Struthio camelus: one gene and its partner. The protein of the gene in region 1 interacts with the protein of each later gene in a pairwise test. Links are inferred from orthologs where the notes say so. Each region holds a gene or a part of one and is shown in the gene's direction. Other genes may lie near its edges.

Region 1 (7,792 bases):
GGTTAGTATCTGGAAATTCAAACCACTAGAGGCCTTGGCAAAAGAATAACATCAGCGGAGGTTTTAATTAGAGAAATAAAACATTTCGATAAAATCACTTAATTTTTTCAGACATTTTATTTCATAAGTAATGTCAATGTTTTTCCTTTTTTTCTCCTCAATTAGGAAATGCTACGATTTTCCACAAAATTCTAAATGTCACTGGTGTTAGTCACTGGCATGCCGAAAAACATAGTATGTGTGTATGTAATGCCTTTTCCCAAGTCATGAGACTAAAATGGCTCTATTCCTTCAAAACAGCCAGAAATGGTTGAGTAGGCAATTATTTAACATTCCTGCAAAAGCCTGGCATGTTCCTGACCTCCTAGGTGGACGGGACTTGATTCTGCTCTGATTTACACCCATGTATTATAACTGGAAGTGGGAAAGACATTACTGCAAGTCAAAGTGACAGAAAATAGAACAAAAGACCATCCCATACCTCAGTCTGTGTCTACATTGTGACTATTTAGAAAACCTTAGCCAAATTCAAAAGAATTGGCTTTTGAACTAAAACTAGTAACATGGAGCTTCGCGTGAGCTTGTTTTCTCTGCAAAGAAGCAAAGCAAACTAGTCAACACTGACGTACTACCTTAACGTATTACCTTGTGTAAACTCAAAGTTAGGGAAGGTACAACAGAGTAGAGGCAATATATTGCAGACAGGGTGTGATTCAAGTCTATTTACTGTATTCCTTATCACTGAGGTTTTTTTCTGCCCTACAGTCTTGCCTGAATAAGGACCTTCTGTGTTTCTCTCTCCCTCTCTCTGCCTTTTATTTTTTACTCATGCTGAAAATGCTAACAGTTCTATAAACAGGAATATGGTAATCAGTGTGAATGTCTTTTTAATATCTATGTCCGCTTTGGATTGTGCTTTAATTTCTAATTTTTTCAGGAAGGAATATGTGATATGACTGGCTTCTCTTTGGATATTTTCTTAAAGAGAGCTTGGGAGGAGAATACAGAATTTTAAAACGTCAAGTAACATTGTCTCTAGTGCTCCTGGTTTGTCATTATTTTCGTTCAGCATTAGCACTATTAACTACTTGACTGTTAGTCATTTTGGAAGATTCATCACAGTTTTGGGTAACCGGGATTAGAAGACAGCAGCCTTGGCAATGGAGGTTTAACCATTTATTCATGACATAAGCTCTTCCTAAGCCGTGGAAAGGGAGGTATGTTGGTTCTGACTACATTTCTCCTGTTCGGTGTACAGTCCCTGAACAACTAACGTGACACCTTTTCTTCATAAGCAGTACGTTTGCACAGAAAAGTGCTGGGGTGAAACCGTAGCGTAAACAGTCTCTCTGATGGGCTGACACACAGCGGCTCAAAGTCTGTGTCACTGAAGCTTCAATGCTTTCCCCAGATTTGTCTCCTGTGTCGTCTGTGTACCTCCTCCCTCTGCTGTGTAGAGCGGGGCACATTTTGGAAAGTAATTTCCTTGCCCAGCATATTTAGAAACAGGTTAATGATACTGCAACTTTAAATAGCAACCTAATGTGCAAAGGCAGGATTTATGGGCACAGTCAGTTCATTGAGTAGCAGCAGCTCCCCTGAACCGTCCCCAGCCCTTGCGAGTGAGCCCAGGGCTGTGCAGTGACTCTGCACATTCAGTCTGGAGGGCGCTTGAAGTCACCTTCTCTGGTATGTTAATCAGTGCCCTGGTGAATTACCTCTGAACGGAAAGAGAGGCTGTGAGATCCTGTTTTGGGTTCAAAAAAGTCTGCAGTAACCTGCAGACTTTGTAGTCACAAGAATACTTTCACATTGCCTCAGGTAGAAATATTTTAAGTGGATTGTTTTAATAAAAGTTATATCTTTGAAGTCTCTGTATAAGGAAAAGCCTATCTACTCTATGGAGAATTTTTTGCTTCTGAAGTCAGAAACCTTGTTATACTGGCAAATTTAGGGAAATTTAGCTCTGCTGCATTAACACACAGGTACTAGGGACAATCTAAATGGTATTAAGTATAACATAGATGTTGTTATCAGTTTATAATTTACTCTAAGATTTTAAGTGATACTCAGGTAAAAAAAGGATCAACAGACAGGAATTTATTATAAAGCATAGATTATTATAAATACCTACTCTCAGCTATTTCGCTTTTCTGAGAACATGTCTTAGAACAGTCCTAAAACAGGAAATTCTTCTGTCTTACTTTCTCCAATAAAAGTGAGATGCCAGACATCAAGATTCAAATACTGCAGCCAAACTCTATGCTGCGGAGAACAATCATTTATAACATGCCAGGTATCACACATCAGAATTTAGCTAAGCTGTCAGATATGACTAATCACAGGTTATCACAGAGAATCATCAGAAACAGGACGATGATTAGATACCAGACAAAGTGCCAGATATAGAAGAAAATAGGATGCACAGAGTAACAGCCACTAACCTAAGACATTACAATTACAGTGTTTGGGGACAGGAACTACCATAATACTCAACAATTAGTCACACAGTAATTAGTTCTGGTGAGTTGAAGTCATTTACATCTAACAGAATCCCTCAGTAAAGATACTTACCTTTCCAGTGAGATATTTAATTGATGCCATTGAACTCAGCAGATGTTGTTGTTACCATCGCTGTGATTACCAGTATTACGTGTGACACGCAGCAGGAAGTTCTGGCTCTAGTATCTCCTGGCTGTGTCCTGATCTTGCACCATCAGAAGTGTAGGACCTCTCTGCCTCATGCCTGCTAATTCAAATAAGACCTGGGATACTCATCATGTTAAAGCATCAGATTTATCAGAAAAGTAGTAGCTTATAAATGTTGTGTTACCTGAAAGAATGATGCAGAAGCATATTGATTGTTGGTGGAACACTGTACAGGAGCGAAAACATAGCACAATCTTATTGCTATATTAAATATGACAGATAAATATATTTTTTCTTATATGTCTGTGACTTACTTTAAAATATAAACTTATATAGGCATGTGTTCTCACTTCTGTTACATTCCTATTTTCCCTCCCCACAAATTCTGTTGTGCAATGTTCCCACCCTTCTACCTTGACTTGAGATAAGCGTAAGCTTTTCTGAGCAAGGGCTGTCTTTTATTGTATTTCTACAGTTCCTAACAGAGTATGGTCCTGATCCAACTGGTACAGTTGGATTCTAATTAACTTAAGAAAATATAATGCATGTTTTTGTATTATATATTAAATGAATGCCACCGACTCACAGGAAGCACACTTTAAAAAGCTACATAGCTGATAATAAACCACTATAAATTGGTAGCAGTCCATAAATTTCAGCAAATGTAAAAGCCCAGTGGAACAGCTGTTTAACTAATGTCAGTCATCCATATGATATGATAGTGCTGAATGAATACTGAAAACGGCTAGATATGATGTGCTTCCAGGATACTAATGTTAGGAGAAATCCCAGCTCAGCATTAAAAAATCTGTTTCCTTGAGGATTTTTGTAATGCAGATCCATATATTATTTTAACACTGATCTCATGAGACAACGATAAGTTTCGATACAGCAATTAAGAGGCAAATATATTAAACCAAATTCCCTGCTTCCCTGAATTTAGGATAAGGGCTGCTCTACCTGGGCCAGCTGGCAAAGACTCCCACGGGGCTGCCTGCCAGCTCTGCACAGTCAGAAAGCTCAGCCACTGCTCTTCTTTTCTTCTGTCCCTTGACCTCTCCTCCTATGCCAGAGGCTGTAAGGAGGTGACGTAGGAGCCAAAAATAACAGCTGCTGTTGGCACAGCTGGGGGACTTCACCCTCTTGGGCTGAGTGGGGTGGAGGAAAGACATTTGCCTTATGATTCCTAGATATATCTGAACTGTATTTACCGTCAAACACAGAACACATTGACTCATGCAGGGTCAACATGACTTATCAGCATCTCCAGTCTCTGAAAAGTGATTCGTATTTAATGTATTATTGAGCCATGGTTATGCATCCACGTGTGTAGCAGAATTAATCTTTTCAGTTATTCTGAGACGTTCTTTTTCTATCAGTGCAGGGTATAGAAACCTGAGCTGCTACAAATGAATGTGCTGGTAAACGCTTGCAACGTTTTAGCAGTACTAATTGGTTAAACTGCTCCTTTCTGAGATCTAGCTCTTGCGAACGTTTCTTGGGCTCCTTCATGGTATAACCAGAGAGCTATTACGCTTTCAAACTTTTCACGTACCTAAAGGTTCTTGGGAACTCATAGCAGGCTACCTTTAGGTGTGCTGGACTGCTTATGTGAAGGAAGAAAAGTAAAATTGCCCAACTCTTGCAACAACAGACGGGCCAGCTCAGTGGCTCAAGAAATTTTTCAGCGGCACCATGTCACCGGCTCTGTGGTTAGCGTTAGGTGACGGGATGGCATCAGGGGCTCTGCGGTGGTGCTGGGTGACGGGATGGGGTCGCAGGCTCTACAGGCTCTGTGTGTTGGTGCTGGGTGACGGGACGGCGCCAGGGGCTCTGTGTTGGTGCTGGGTGACAGGATGGGGTCGCAGGCTCTGCAGCTGGTGCCCTCCGGTCATAGTGAGGGATGGGTTGTCTGCTGCTGGGTTTAGATATTTCAAATACACCCATCCTAAGAAAAAGAAAAGCTATTAACTGGGAGGCAGGTTCCTGGGGGCGATGAAGGGTGGAAGATGGCGGCGAGGCCCCGAGGCGGCGGTTGGCCGGGGCCGCCGGGGCCGGCACTTCCGGCATCCCGCGGGCACCATGACAACGCGGGAGGAGACGAGACGAGCGGAGCGGCGGTCCTCGCGGTGCGTCCTCTCTGGCCGCGGGATGCCTCGCTCTCCATGGCAGCGACGCCGTCCTACCCAATAGGGAGGGAGGAGGAGGAGGAGGCAGTGGCCCGGCATGCAGCGCGGCAGCCCGCCTCACTTCCCGCCCGGGCCGCTAAGATGGCGACTCCCATGCACCGACTCATCGCTCGGAGACAGGCGTGAGTGCGGCGGGCGGCCGAGAGGCGCCCCGAGGCGGGGGAGCGGCCGAGGGGCGGCTGCGGAGCCGGGGCGGGGGCTCTGGCCGTGGGTTCCCCGAGCGGGGGCCTCCCCTGCCCTCCCCCCGGCTGTGGGGCCCCCCGGCTCTCTTTTGGGGCAGTTTCGTGCAGAGCAGACGCCCTTCACGGGTGCCCCGCTGTTGGCAGCGTGGTGCTGCGGGTGGGTAAGGGAAACGCTCCCAAGTGAGGCTTGGCTCATCCTGTTAACCGGGCTGAGACTCTCTTCGTTTCGGAGCTGACAGGGTTAAGACCGTATATGGTGTTTTGGGCTCCCTGAACCTGAAGGGTCCCGTGTTTTTTGTAAGAGTTGCGGAATTAGTGATTTCTGGCTCCATCTTGCGCAAGGTGGAGGCTTTAGAGGGACTTGAGATAGCAAACATAAGCTTATGTTTGCTTTCTTGTTTAAAAACAAAACAAAAAACCAAAAATTGTGTGTGTCCTCTGCAGCAGAGTGCAGGAGGTTTTCTCCCTCTGTTGTAGGGAGTTATGGTGATTTAAAGAATTAATAAAATCATTACAGTGAAATGATCAAAAATGAAAGCAGGATTCCTGAAAAGGAAAGGCAATCTCCCCATTGACTAAAACTTTCCCTTTCGTTGCTGTTAACGCCAGTTAGCAACTATTTGGGAAAAGGCTGCCTTATGGGTTTAGCATGTCGTCCCTTTCAGTGAAGCGTATAAGACCTTGTGATGCAGGTAGGCACAGGTCTTATCGTGTCACTCTTGTCAGTCAGGTGTGGGGGGGACCAAATAATTTCTGGCTTCACATTATAATATGTTTAGTAAATTACTAAAAAAAAAACCCGGGGTGGGGAGGGGAGAAAGCAAGCACCCTTTACTCAGTTATGCTTATTGCTTTTGGGTGATTCTCTAAATATCGGGGAGATCTGATTGCCAAATGCTGAAATGAGGAAAAGCCAATGTTTTTTGATTACTGACATTAAGTAAAGCAGATGCCTGTGTTCTACTGCCGTGTTTTGAGTTTTTGGGTTTTTAGGGAGGGGGTTTGTTCTTAGGGATTTTTTTGGCTGATCATAGCATTAGAAACAATATGGATGGTTTTTGCTGCCTCTTTACTTTTTCATTAGCTAGTATAATTCGTTTCTTACTTTCCAATGGAAAATATACTTGGAATGTCAAAGTACTTGCAGAATACTTGTTTTTTTTAAGTTGCTATTTTATATTGGTCATAGAATGATTTCTTAGTGCGTGTTATTTCTCCATGTGCTTGATGAGAATTGCTGAGTTGTACGTCTGCCAAGACTTGCTTCTAGGTTGTGATAATTGATCTGTGTGAAAAGTTTGTTTTAGTCTTGAGCTTTTAATTACTGTTAAAACTTGTCAGTGTTGACACTGTCTTTACAAATCTGTAGTTCTTGAGCTATTTTGATCTGTTCTTCCTAATTATTAATAATTAATAAGTAATTATTACTTCCTGTAATTGCTTATTATATTGCTTTTAGGATTTTATCTTAACATTTTAGTTTGCATAGAATTGTCTACATCGGTCAGGTGAATAGCATTAAAGCCTTGGAAATGCTGAATTATATTATTGTTGCTTTGACTGCCCATTCTGTTCCTATGGTCTGGGCTGGCCTGAGATACAAAGCAACAAAACGTAAATGTTTTTCTATCTTGATTAAGAGGATGAGAGAGTTCTCGTTCTGCTCATGTGTAATGACTGCATCAGAGTCAGAAGTCCAAGGCAAGAATTACACCGGACGCTTTCCTAGTAAAGAAATAAGTTACCGGTTTTGTCCCAGTTTTCTTTGCAGTGGTTTAATACTAGCAAAAATCAAAATGTAAATGTAGTTTGTGTGTTTAAAAAAGTTTTTGTTGCAGTAGTTCACTTGTATTTGTCTTCTCAGTGTAAACTTTCCTACATGCTAAAGCTTGCTGCGTTCTTGTGTGAATGAATAATAGGTATATAAAAACAGTAACATGTTTTGAGCATACCTGACGAAGTGAAACATCGTGTTTCTGTCCTTAGTGTTAGGGTACAGCCTTAAACCTACCTGAATGTTATTTGGAAAGGAAAAGAAAAAGGGATGATTTTTGTGTGTGTGTGTGTGTATGAAACTTAAATCAATTTCCCTGCAGCACATGTGGTATACTTCATTTATTTTAAGAGCAGGCCCACAACTAAACATTTTTTAATTTTATGAAGCCTTTCAAAGCACCTGTTACATTATTTGTACTTTAACCTCTTCTTTCAAGGGTGCTGGAGTGTGAGGTGGTTAATGTTTGGGCATCCTTAGATGCACCCGGAGGAGCGCTGCTCATCAGCAGCAGTGTTTTAAGTATAGTTTGTAACCATTCAGGAATATTTTGCTTATGTTTGTCTAAGTACCACACTTACAGTCTGTTGCTTATCCCTTTGCTATCTAGAACCTCACTTGTTCTACAGTTTTATTTGTTGATTGAAATGAGCTAAAGTTCTGGTCTTTAAAAACCTTTTCTGTGTTTGTTTTTTGTTTAACATAAACAAGTGGACTTATGGTCTAAATGAGGTACTATTTTGTTTAAGGCAAAGTGCATCTTGCACAGTGTGACGGTTATTCAGATACTCTTTTGCAGGCATTCAGAAGAGTTTTGTGTATTGTTCAAGATGTCTTTTAGGACACAGGAAGAAGATGGAACTTAAACCATTCACAAGACCTTGTGTGTGGGTTTTGTTTTTGTTTTTTCCCCTCAGGACTAAAAGTGTTGTTTCCTGTTGAAGTCAGAGTTAATTGTGCAGAGTTGATTGCAAGTTTAATTAGTTCTTTAGTCCTGA
Region 2 (7,601 bases), on another chromosome or scaffold:
CGGGTGGGCATGGGTGCTCTGGGTGCCCACGTGTATGCACAGACTGCTGTGGGTGGGCATGGGTGCTCTGGGTGCCCACGCAGGTGCATGGGCTGCTGCAGGTGTGCAGGGGTGCTCTGGGTGCCCACGGGAGTGCACTGGCTGCTGTGGGTGTGCATGGGTGCTCTGGGTGCCCACGCAGGTGCATGGGCTGCTGCAGGTATGCAGGGGTGCTCTGGGTGCCCACGGGAGTGCACTGGCTGCTGTGGGTGTGCATGGGTGCTCTGGGTGCCCATGCACGTGCACAGACTGCTGTGGGTGGGCATGGGTGCTCTGGGTGCCCACGTGTGTGCATGGGCAGCTGTGGGCGTGCGTGGTGCTCCAGGTGCTCCACGTGCTCCAGGTGCTCACGCGCGTGCGCGGGCTGCTGCAGGCATGCATGCACGTGCACGGGGTGCTCTGGGTGCACATGTGTGTGTGCATGGGGTGCTCTGGGTGCACACTGTATTTGTGGGGTGCTCATGCACGTGCACGGGGTGCTCTGGGTGCACATGTGTGTGTGCATGGGGTGCTCTGGGTGCACACTGTATTTGTGGGGTGCTCATGCCCGTGCATGGGGTGCTACCAGCTCGCATGGTGCCTGTGGGGTGCTCTGGATGCACGCACGGGTGCACGGGGCGCTGCGGGGGTGCCCGGGGGGAGGGCCCGGGTCCCCGTGTGTGCGTGTCCCCAGCGTGTGCCCGTGTCCCCAGGGCTCGCTGCGACACTTCCTGCGCCAGCACGTGGGCACGTGGGCCGGCAGCCTGCGCCTGGGGCTCTCGCTGGCCCGCGGCCTGGCCTTCCTGCACCAGGAGCTCTGGCGTGACGGTGAGTGGCGCCCGCACGTGCACCGAGCTCACCTGGCCTCTGCAAGCACCCCAGGGTGCTCTGCACATGCACCCAGCTCACACGCTCTCTGCAAGCCCTCCCAGGTGCCCAACGCGTGCACTGAGCTTGCTTGCTCTCCGCAAGCACCCTTGGGTACCTGGTGCATGCACGGAGCTTGCCTGGACTCTGCGTCACCCCGGGGCGCCCTGTGCATGCACCAAGCTCACCTCTCCAGTGCAAGCACCTCTGAGTGCCCGGTGCATGCACCGAGCTCACCCAGTCTCTGTAAGCGCTGCAGGGCCCTGTGCTTGCACCATGCTCACCCCACTCCACGCGAGCACCCCCGGGTGCCCCCCCCGGAAGCGTCTGTGACATCGTGTTCCCCCCCCCCCCACCCCCAGGCCTGTACAAGCCCAGCGTGGTGCACCGGGACCTGAGCAGCCAGAACGTGCTGGTGCGCGAGGACGGGACGTGTGCCATCGGTGACTTCGGGCTGGCGCTGGCGCTGCCACCCCGCGCCCAGGCCGGCAGCAGCGCCCGCCACGCCGTGCCCATCCGCAAGGTGCCGGGGAGCCCCGGGTGACCCGCGGCGGGACGGGACCCTCTTCTCCGTGCTGGGGGCACGGGTGGGAGCGTGGGTGCATGCCAGGCAGGGGGGCGCACGTGGGAGCACAGCCCTGGTGCAAGGAGGGACCTGGTGCAAGGGGGGGTCCGGTGCAAGGTGGGTGCTGGTGCACGTGGCAGCATGGCCCTGGTGCAAGGAGGGACCTGGTGCAAGGTGGGTGCTGGTGCACGTGGCAGCATGGCCCCGGTGCAAGGAGGGACCTGGTGCAAGGAGGGACCTGGTGCAAGGGGGGGTCCGGTGCAAGGTGGGTGCTGGTGCACGTGGCAGCATGGCCCTGGTGCAAGGAGGGACCTGGTGCAAGGTGGGTGCTGGTGCACGTGGCAGCACGACCCTGGTGCAAGGAGGGACTTGGTGCAAGGGGGGGTCTGGTGCAAGGTGGGTGCTGGTGCACGTGGCAGCATGGCCCTGGTGCAAGGAGGGACCTGGTGCAAGGTGGGTGCTGGTGCACGGTGGGTGCTGGTGCATGTAGGAGCATGGCCCTGGCGCAAGGCAGGCCCTGGTGCAAAATGAGACCTGGTGCACGTGCAAGCTGGGCCTGCCCGGCGAAAGCCGCGTCCCAATGCCCGTGCAAGCACTGCAGCGCCTGTGCGAGTGCTGCGGCACCCGTGCAAGGCCCGTGGGGCCTGTGCAAGTGGGGGCGATGCCTGTGCGAGCCCCGTGGGGCCCGTGCAAAGGCAGCAATGCCCGTGCAAGCCCTGCAGTGCTGCTTGCACAGGACCCATGTAAGCCGGGCAATGCCCCTGCAAGCCTCGCGGGGCCCCTGCAAGCCGGGCAATGCCCCTGCAAGCCTCGCGGGGCCCCTGCAAGCCGGGCAATGCCCCTGCAAGCCCCGCGGGGCCCCTGCAAGCTGGGCAATGCCCCTGCAAGCCTCGTGGGGCCCCTGCAAGCTGGGCAATGCCCCTGCAAGCCCCGCGGGGCCCCTGCAAGCTGGGCAATGCCCCTGCAAGCCTCGCGGGGCCCCTGCAAGCTGGGCAATGCCCCTGCAAGCCGGGCAATGCCCCTGCAAGCCCCGCGGGGCCCCTGCAAGCTGGGCAATGCCCCTGCAAGCCGGGCAATGCCCCTGCAAGCCTCGCGGGGCCCCTGCAAGCTGGGCAATGCCCCTGCAAGCCCCGCGGGGCCCCTGCAAGCCGGGCAATGCCCCTGCAAGCCCCAAGAGGCCCCTGCAAGCTGGGCAATGCCCCTGCAAGCCCCGCGGGGCCCCTGCAAGCCGGGCAATGCCCGTGCAAGGCAGCAGGGCCCAAGCGAGCACTGCGGGTGCGCGCAGGCGGGCACCCAGCGCTACCTGGCACCCGAGATCCTGGACGAGAGTCTGGACCTGCGGGCCTGGGGCAGGGCGCTGCGGCAAGCCGACGTCTACGCCCTGGCGCTGCTGCTCTGGGAGATCCTGTCGCGATGCCAGGCCCTGAGCCCCGGTGAGCACCCGCGGGTGCTCCCCGCCCGAGGCACCCCCCACCCACCCACCCCCCGGCCGGGGCACGGGGCTGCCGCTGACCCGACGCCCCGCAGGCCGCCCCGTGCCCGAGTTTCGGCTGGCGTACGAGGCCGAGCTGGGCGCCAGCCCCACGCCGGCGCAGCTGCGGCGCCTGGCCGTGGAGGAGCGCCGGCGGCCGCTCATCCCCGCCGCGTGGCACCGCGCCGGGCAGGTGAGCCCGCCGCAGCACCCGCCGCCCTGCGCGGGGCGGCCCCGGCCCGGGAGCTGCTTGCACGGGGCGCTCGTGCCCAGGGGGGTGCAGGGGTGGTGAGGCTGCCCGGGTGCTCGCGCCCATGGGGGTCCTTGCACAGAGTGCCTGTGCCCAGGGCTGTCCCTGCCCGGGGTGCCCAGGGGGTCCCAGGGGTGCCCAGGGGTGATGAGGGTGCCCGGGTGCTTGCACCCACGGAGGTCCCTGCACAGGTTGCCCATGCCCAGGGTGCTGGGGGGGGTCCTGGGTGCCCACGGGTGTCCCTGCTATGGGTGCACAGGGGGTCTCAGGGGTGACAAGGGTGTCCAGGGCTGTCCCTGCCCCAGGGTGCCCATGGGTGTCCCTGCCCCGGGGTGCCCAGGGGAGGGCTTGGGAGTGCCCAACCTGGGTGCCCATGCACGGGAAGGTCCCTGCCCGGGGTGTCCGTGCCCAGGGTGCCCCAGGGTGCCCCTGCCCCGATGACGATGCTGAGGGGTGCCCATGCCCAGGGTATCCATGCCTGGGGTGCCCAGGGGTGCCAAGGGTACCCAGGGAGGACCCTGCCCGGGGTGCCCCTGCCCAGGTGACGATGCTCAGGGGTGCCCATGCCCAGGGTGCCCAGGGCTGACAAGGGTGCCCAGGTGCCCGTACCTGGGGAGGTCCCAACCCTGGGGTACCCCTGCCCAAGCACCCAAGGGTGCCCATGCCCGGGGTGCCCAGGGGTGCCGGCGCGCACCCCGGGGTGCTGAGGCGGGCGCCCCGCAGCCCTCGGCGCTGCTGCAGGAGGTCCTGGAGGACTGCTGGGACCCCGACCCCGAGGCCCGGCTCACGGCCGAGCGGGCCCACCAGCGGCTCCAGCGCCTGGCCGCCGGCCCCCCCCAGGGTGCCCCCCTCCCAGGGGACCCAGGCGGCCGGGCGCCCGCTGACCCCCCCGCTGCTGCCCTCCACAAGGGGCCCAGGCGTCCGGGCTCCCCGTCCAGCAGCTGACTAGGAGGTGCGAGGTGCCCCCCTCTCCGATCCCCCCCAATTAGGGCTCGGTGCAGAAGGGAAACTGAGGCACGGGGTGGCCTTGGAGCAGCAAAGGGGGGGGGGGAGCCCAGGCGTCCGAGCCCCCACCCAGTGGGTGCAGCGAGCCCAGGCGTCCTGCTGCCAACCCTCCCCGCCCCCTTCTCGGTGCAGGGGGCCCAGGCGTCCTGGCTACCTTCCCCCCACCCCGCCCATGCAAGGGACCCAGGCGTCCCGGCTCCTCCCCCGCTCTTGCCCCGGGGGAGGGCCCAGGCGTCCGGCTCCTCCCCCGCTTCCTGCGGGCGGGGCCGCGGAGCGAGCGGAGGCGGCAGGTTGGATCGGACCCGGCCGGGTCCCCCCCCCCCTTCCCCAAATCCACCCCGGGGCCCCTGGATCCGCCCCGGCCCCCCCCAAATGCCTCCTGCACCCCCGGAACCCCCCCTGCACCTCCTGCTCCCGCTCTGCACCCCCCCTGCACCCCCAAATGCCCCCTGCACCCCCAAAACCCCCTGCACCCCCTGCTCCCTCCATGCACCCCAACTCCCTGCACCCCCAAATCCCCCCTGCTCCCGCCCTGCGCCCCAACCCTCATGCACCCCGACCCCCCTCCACCCCCAAAGCCCCCTGCACCCCAACCCCTGCACCCCCAATGCCCCCTGCACCCCCAAAGCCCCCTGCACCCCCTGCTCCCACCCTGCTCCCCAACTCCCTGCACCCCCAAATCCCCCCTGCACCCCCAGAGCCCCCTGCACCCCAAGTCCCTGCACCGCCTTGCACCCCAACCCTCATGCACCCCGACCCCCCTCCACCCCAATGCCCCCTGCACCCCAACCCCTGCACCCCCAAATCCCCCCTGCTCCCACCCTGCGCCCCAACCCTCATGCACCCCGACCCCCCTCCACCCCAAAGCCCCCTGCACCCCAACCCCTGCACCCCCAATGCCCCCTGCACCCCCAAAGCCCCCTGCACCCCCTGCTCCCACCCTGCACCCCAACTCCTTGCACCCCCCTGCACCCCCTGCTCCCGCCCTGCGCCCCAACCCTCATGCACTCCGACCCCTCTGCACCCCCAAAGCCCCCTGCACCCCAACCCCTGCACCCCCAAACCCCCCTGCACCCCCAAAGCCCCCTGCACCCCCTGCTCCCACCCTGCACCCCAACTCCCTGCACCCCCCTGCACCCCCTGCTCCCGCCCTGCGCCCCAACCCTCATGCACTCCGACCCCTCTGCACCCCCAAAGCCCCCGGCACCCCCAGAGCCCCCTGCACCCCAAGTCCCTGCACCGCCCTGCACCCCAACCCTCATGCACCCCGACCCCCCTCCACCCCAAAGCCCCCTGCACCCCAACCCCTGCACCCCCAAACCCCCCTGCACCCCCAAAGCCCCCTGCACCCCCTGCTCCCACCCTGCACCCCAACTCCTTGCACCCCCCTGCACCCCCTGCTCCCGCCCTGCGCCCCAACCCTCATGCACTCCGACCCCTCTGCACCCCCAAAGCCCCCGGCACCCCCAGAGCCCCCTGCACCCCAAGTCCCTGCACCGCCCTGCACCCCAACCCTCATGCACCCCGACCCCCCTCCACCCCAATGCCCCCTGCACCCCAACCCCTGCACCCCCCTGCACCCCCTGCTCCCGCCCTGCGCCCCAACCCTCATGCACCCCACCCCCCTCCACCCCAAAGCCCCCGGCACCCCAACCCCTGCACCCCCAAATCCCCCTGCACCCCTAATGCCCCCTGCACCCCTGCTCCCACCCTGCTCCCCAACTCCCTGCACCCCCAAATCCCCCCTGCACCCCCAGAGCCCCCTGCACCCCAAGTCCCTGCACCGCCCTGCACCCCAACCCTCATGCACCCCGACCCCCCTCCACCCCAATGCCCCCTGCACCCCAACCCCTGCACCCCCAAATCCCCCCTGCACCCCCAGAGCCCCCTGCACCCCAAGTCCCTGCACCGCCTTGCACCCCAACCCTCATGCACCCCGACCCCCCTCCACCCCAAAGCCCCCTGCACCCCAACCCCTGCACCCCCAAATCTCCCCTGCTCCCTCCATGCCCCCAACCCCCCTGCACCCCAAATCCTTCGTGCACCCGCTGATCGCCCCTGCAACCCCTGCACCCCCCAAATGCACCTGCACCCCGGTGACCCTGCACCCCCATTCCCACTTACACCCCCAAACCCTCCTTGTGCCCCCCGCACCCATCACCCCCCCCACCTGCCAATCTCCTGCTGCCCCCCCTGCCCCCCCAACCCCCCCAGAGGCCCTGGCACCCCTGGGTGCTGCCCCACACCTGAAAGCCCCCCGGGGAGGGGGTGCAGCAGGGCCCCGGACCCCCCCGCAGGTTTTGGGGGACCTCCGCTGGCTATTTGGGGTCCCCGCTCACCCCGTGTCGCCCCCTCCCAGGTCGCGGAGCCATCACCCACTGCGGCGCCATGTGGGACCCCAGCTCCGGTAAGGGGGGGCAAACCGGGGTGCTGAGGGGGGACCCCCAAAATGGGGGGGGGCTGCTCCGAACCCCCCTTGCCCCCTTGGGGCAATGAGGGGGCTCGACGTCCCTCTAATTTTCTCTCCCCCCCCGCAGGGCAGCCGGGCGCCCCAAACCCCGTGTACCCCCCAAACCCCGCGTACCCCCCCCAGCCCGTGCCCCCCCCGAACCCCATGTACCCCCCGCACCCTGCCAACCCCCCCCAGCCCCCCTACCCCCACCCCGGGGTGCCCCCAGCACCCATGGGGGGCCCCGGGCAGCCCCTCGGCCCCCCTCCCCTGTACCCACCGGGGCCCCCTGGGTGCCCCCTGCTGCCACCCCCCCACCCCGGGGTGCTGCCCCCCCCCGGGCTGGACGCCAAGGCAGCGAGGAAGATGAAGAAGCGGCTGAAGAAGGCTCAGAAGAAGCACAAGGCTGGGAAGGTGAGGAGGGGGCACCCCGGGGTGGGGGGCACCTGGGGGCGTTCCCCCCCCCCCCACTGCCACGAGCGCTCTCGTGTCCCTGCAGCGCTCTTCGTCCTCGTCGTCGTCCTCCTCCTCCTCCAGCGACTCCGACTGAGGCCGCCGCCACTGCTGAGCACCCATGTCCGGCTGTGACCACCCGTGACCACCCGTGACCGCCTGAGCCCACCCATGCACCTGTGACCAGGGAGCACCCAGGACCACTCGTGCCCACCCGTGCCCACCCATGTACCTGTGACCACCAAGCACCCGGGACCGCCCATGTCCAGCCGTGAGCACCAGTGACCACCCATGCACCCGTGACCACCAGGCACCTGTGGCCACCTGAGCTCACCCATGTAGCTGGGACCGCCCCTGTCCACCGAGGACCACCTGTGACCACCCATGTCCACCCGGGACCACCCATGCACCCGTGGCCACCAGGCACCTGTGGCCGCCTGAGCTCACCCATGTAGCTGGGACCGCCCCTGTCCACCAAGGACCACCTGTGACCACCCATGTCCACCCGGGACCACCCATGCAC

Evidence for each region. The genes of interacting proteins can lie anywhere in the genome.
Region 2: the proteins of ZCCHC10 (region 1) and PRR13 interact in binary tests that used the Homo sapiens proteins (3 or more experiments, as listed by UniProt). The two-hybrid records come from large-scale screens. The link is inferred for Struthio camelus from reciprocal best matches to the Homo sapiens genes ZCCHC10 and PRR13.

What each region holds. Positions count from the first base shown.
Region 1 is NC_090954.1:2,125,728-2,133,519, forward strand, and holds the start of ZCCHC10 (zinc finger CCHC domain-containing protein 10), read left to right. Parts: upstream 1-4,747; 5' UTR 4,748-4,814; coding exon 4,815-4,960; intron 4,961-7,792.
Region 2 is NC_090969.1:3,336,315-3,343,915, reverse strand, and holds the start of PRR13 (proline-rich protein 13), read left to right. Parts: upstream 1-4,403; 5' UTR 4,404-4,466; intron 4,467-6,535; 5' UTR 6,536-6,564; coding exon 6,565-6,583; intron 6,584-6,713; coding exon 6,714-7,039; intron 7,040-7,124; coding exon 7,125-7,175; 3' UTR 7,176-7,601. Other genes in the region: AMHR2 (anti-Muellerian hormone type-2 receptor), read left to right, coding at 732-846, 1,248-1,408, 2,736-2,883, 2,978-3,114, 3,895-4,116. UniProt on the Homo sapiens protein: Negatively regulates TSP1 expression at the level of transcription. This down-regulation was shown to reduce taxane-induced apoptosis.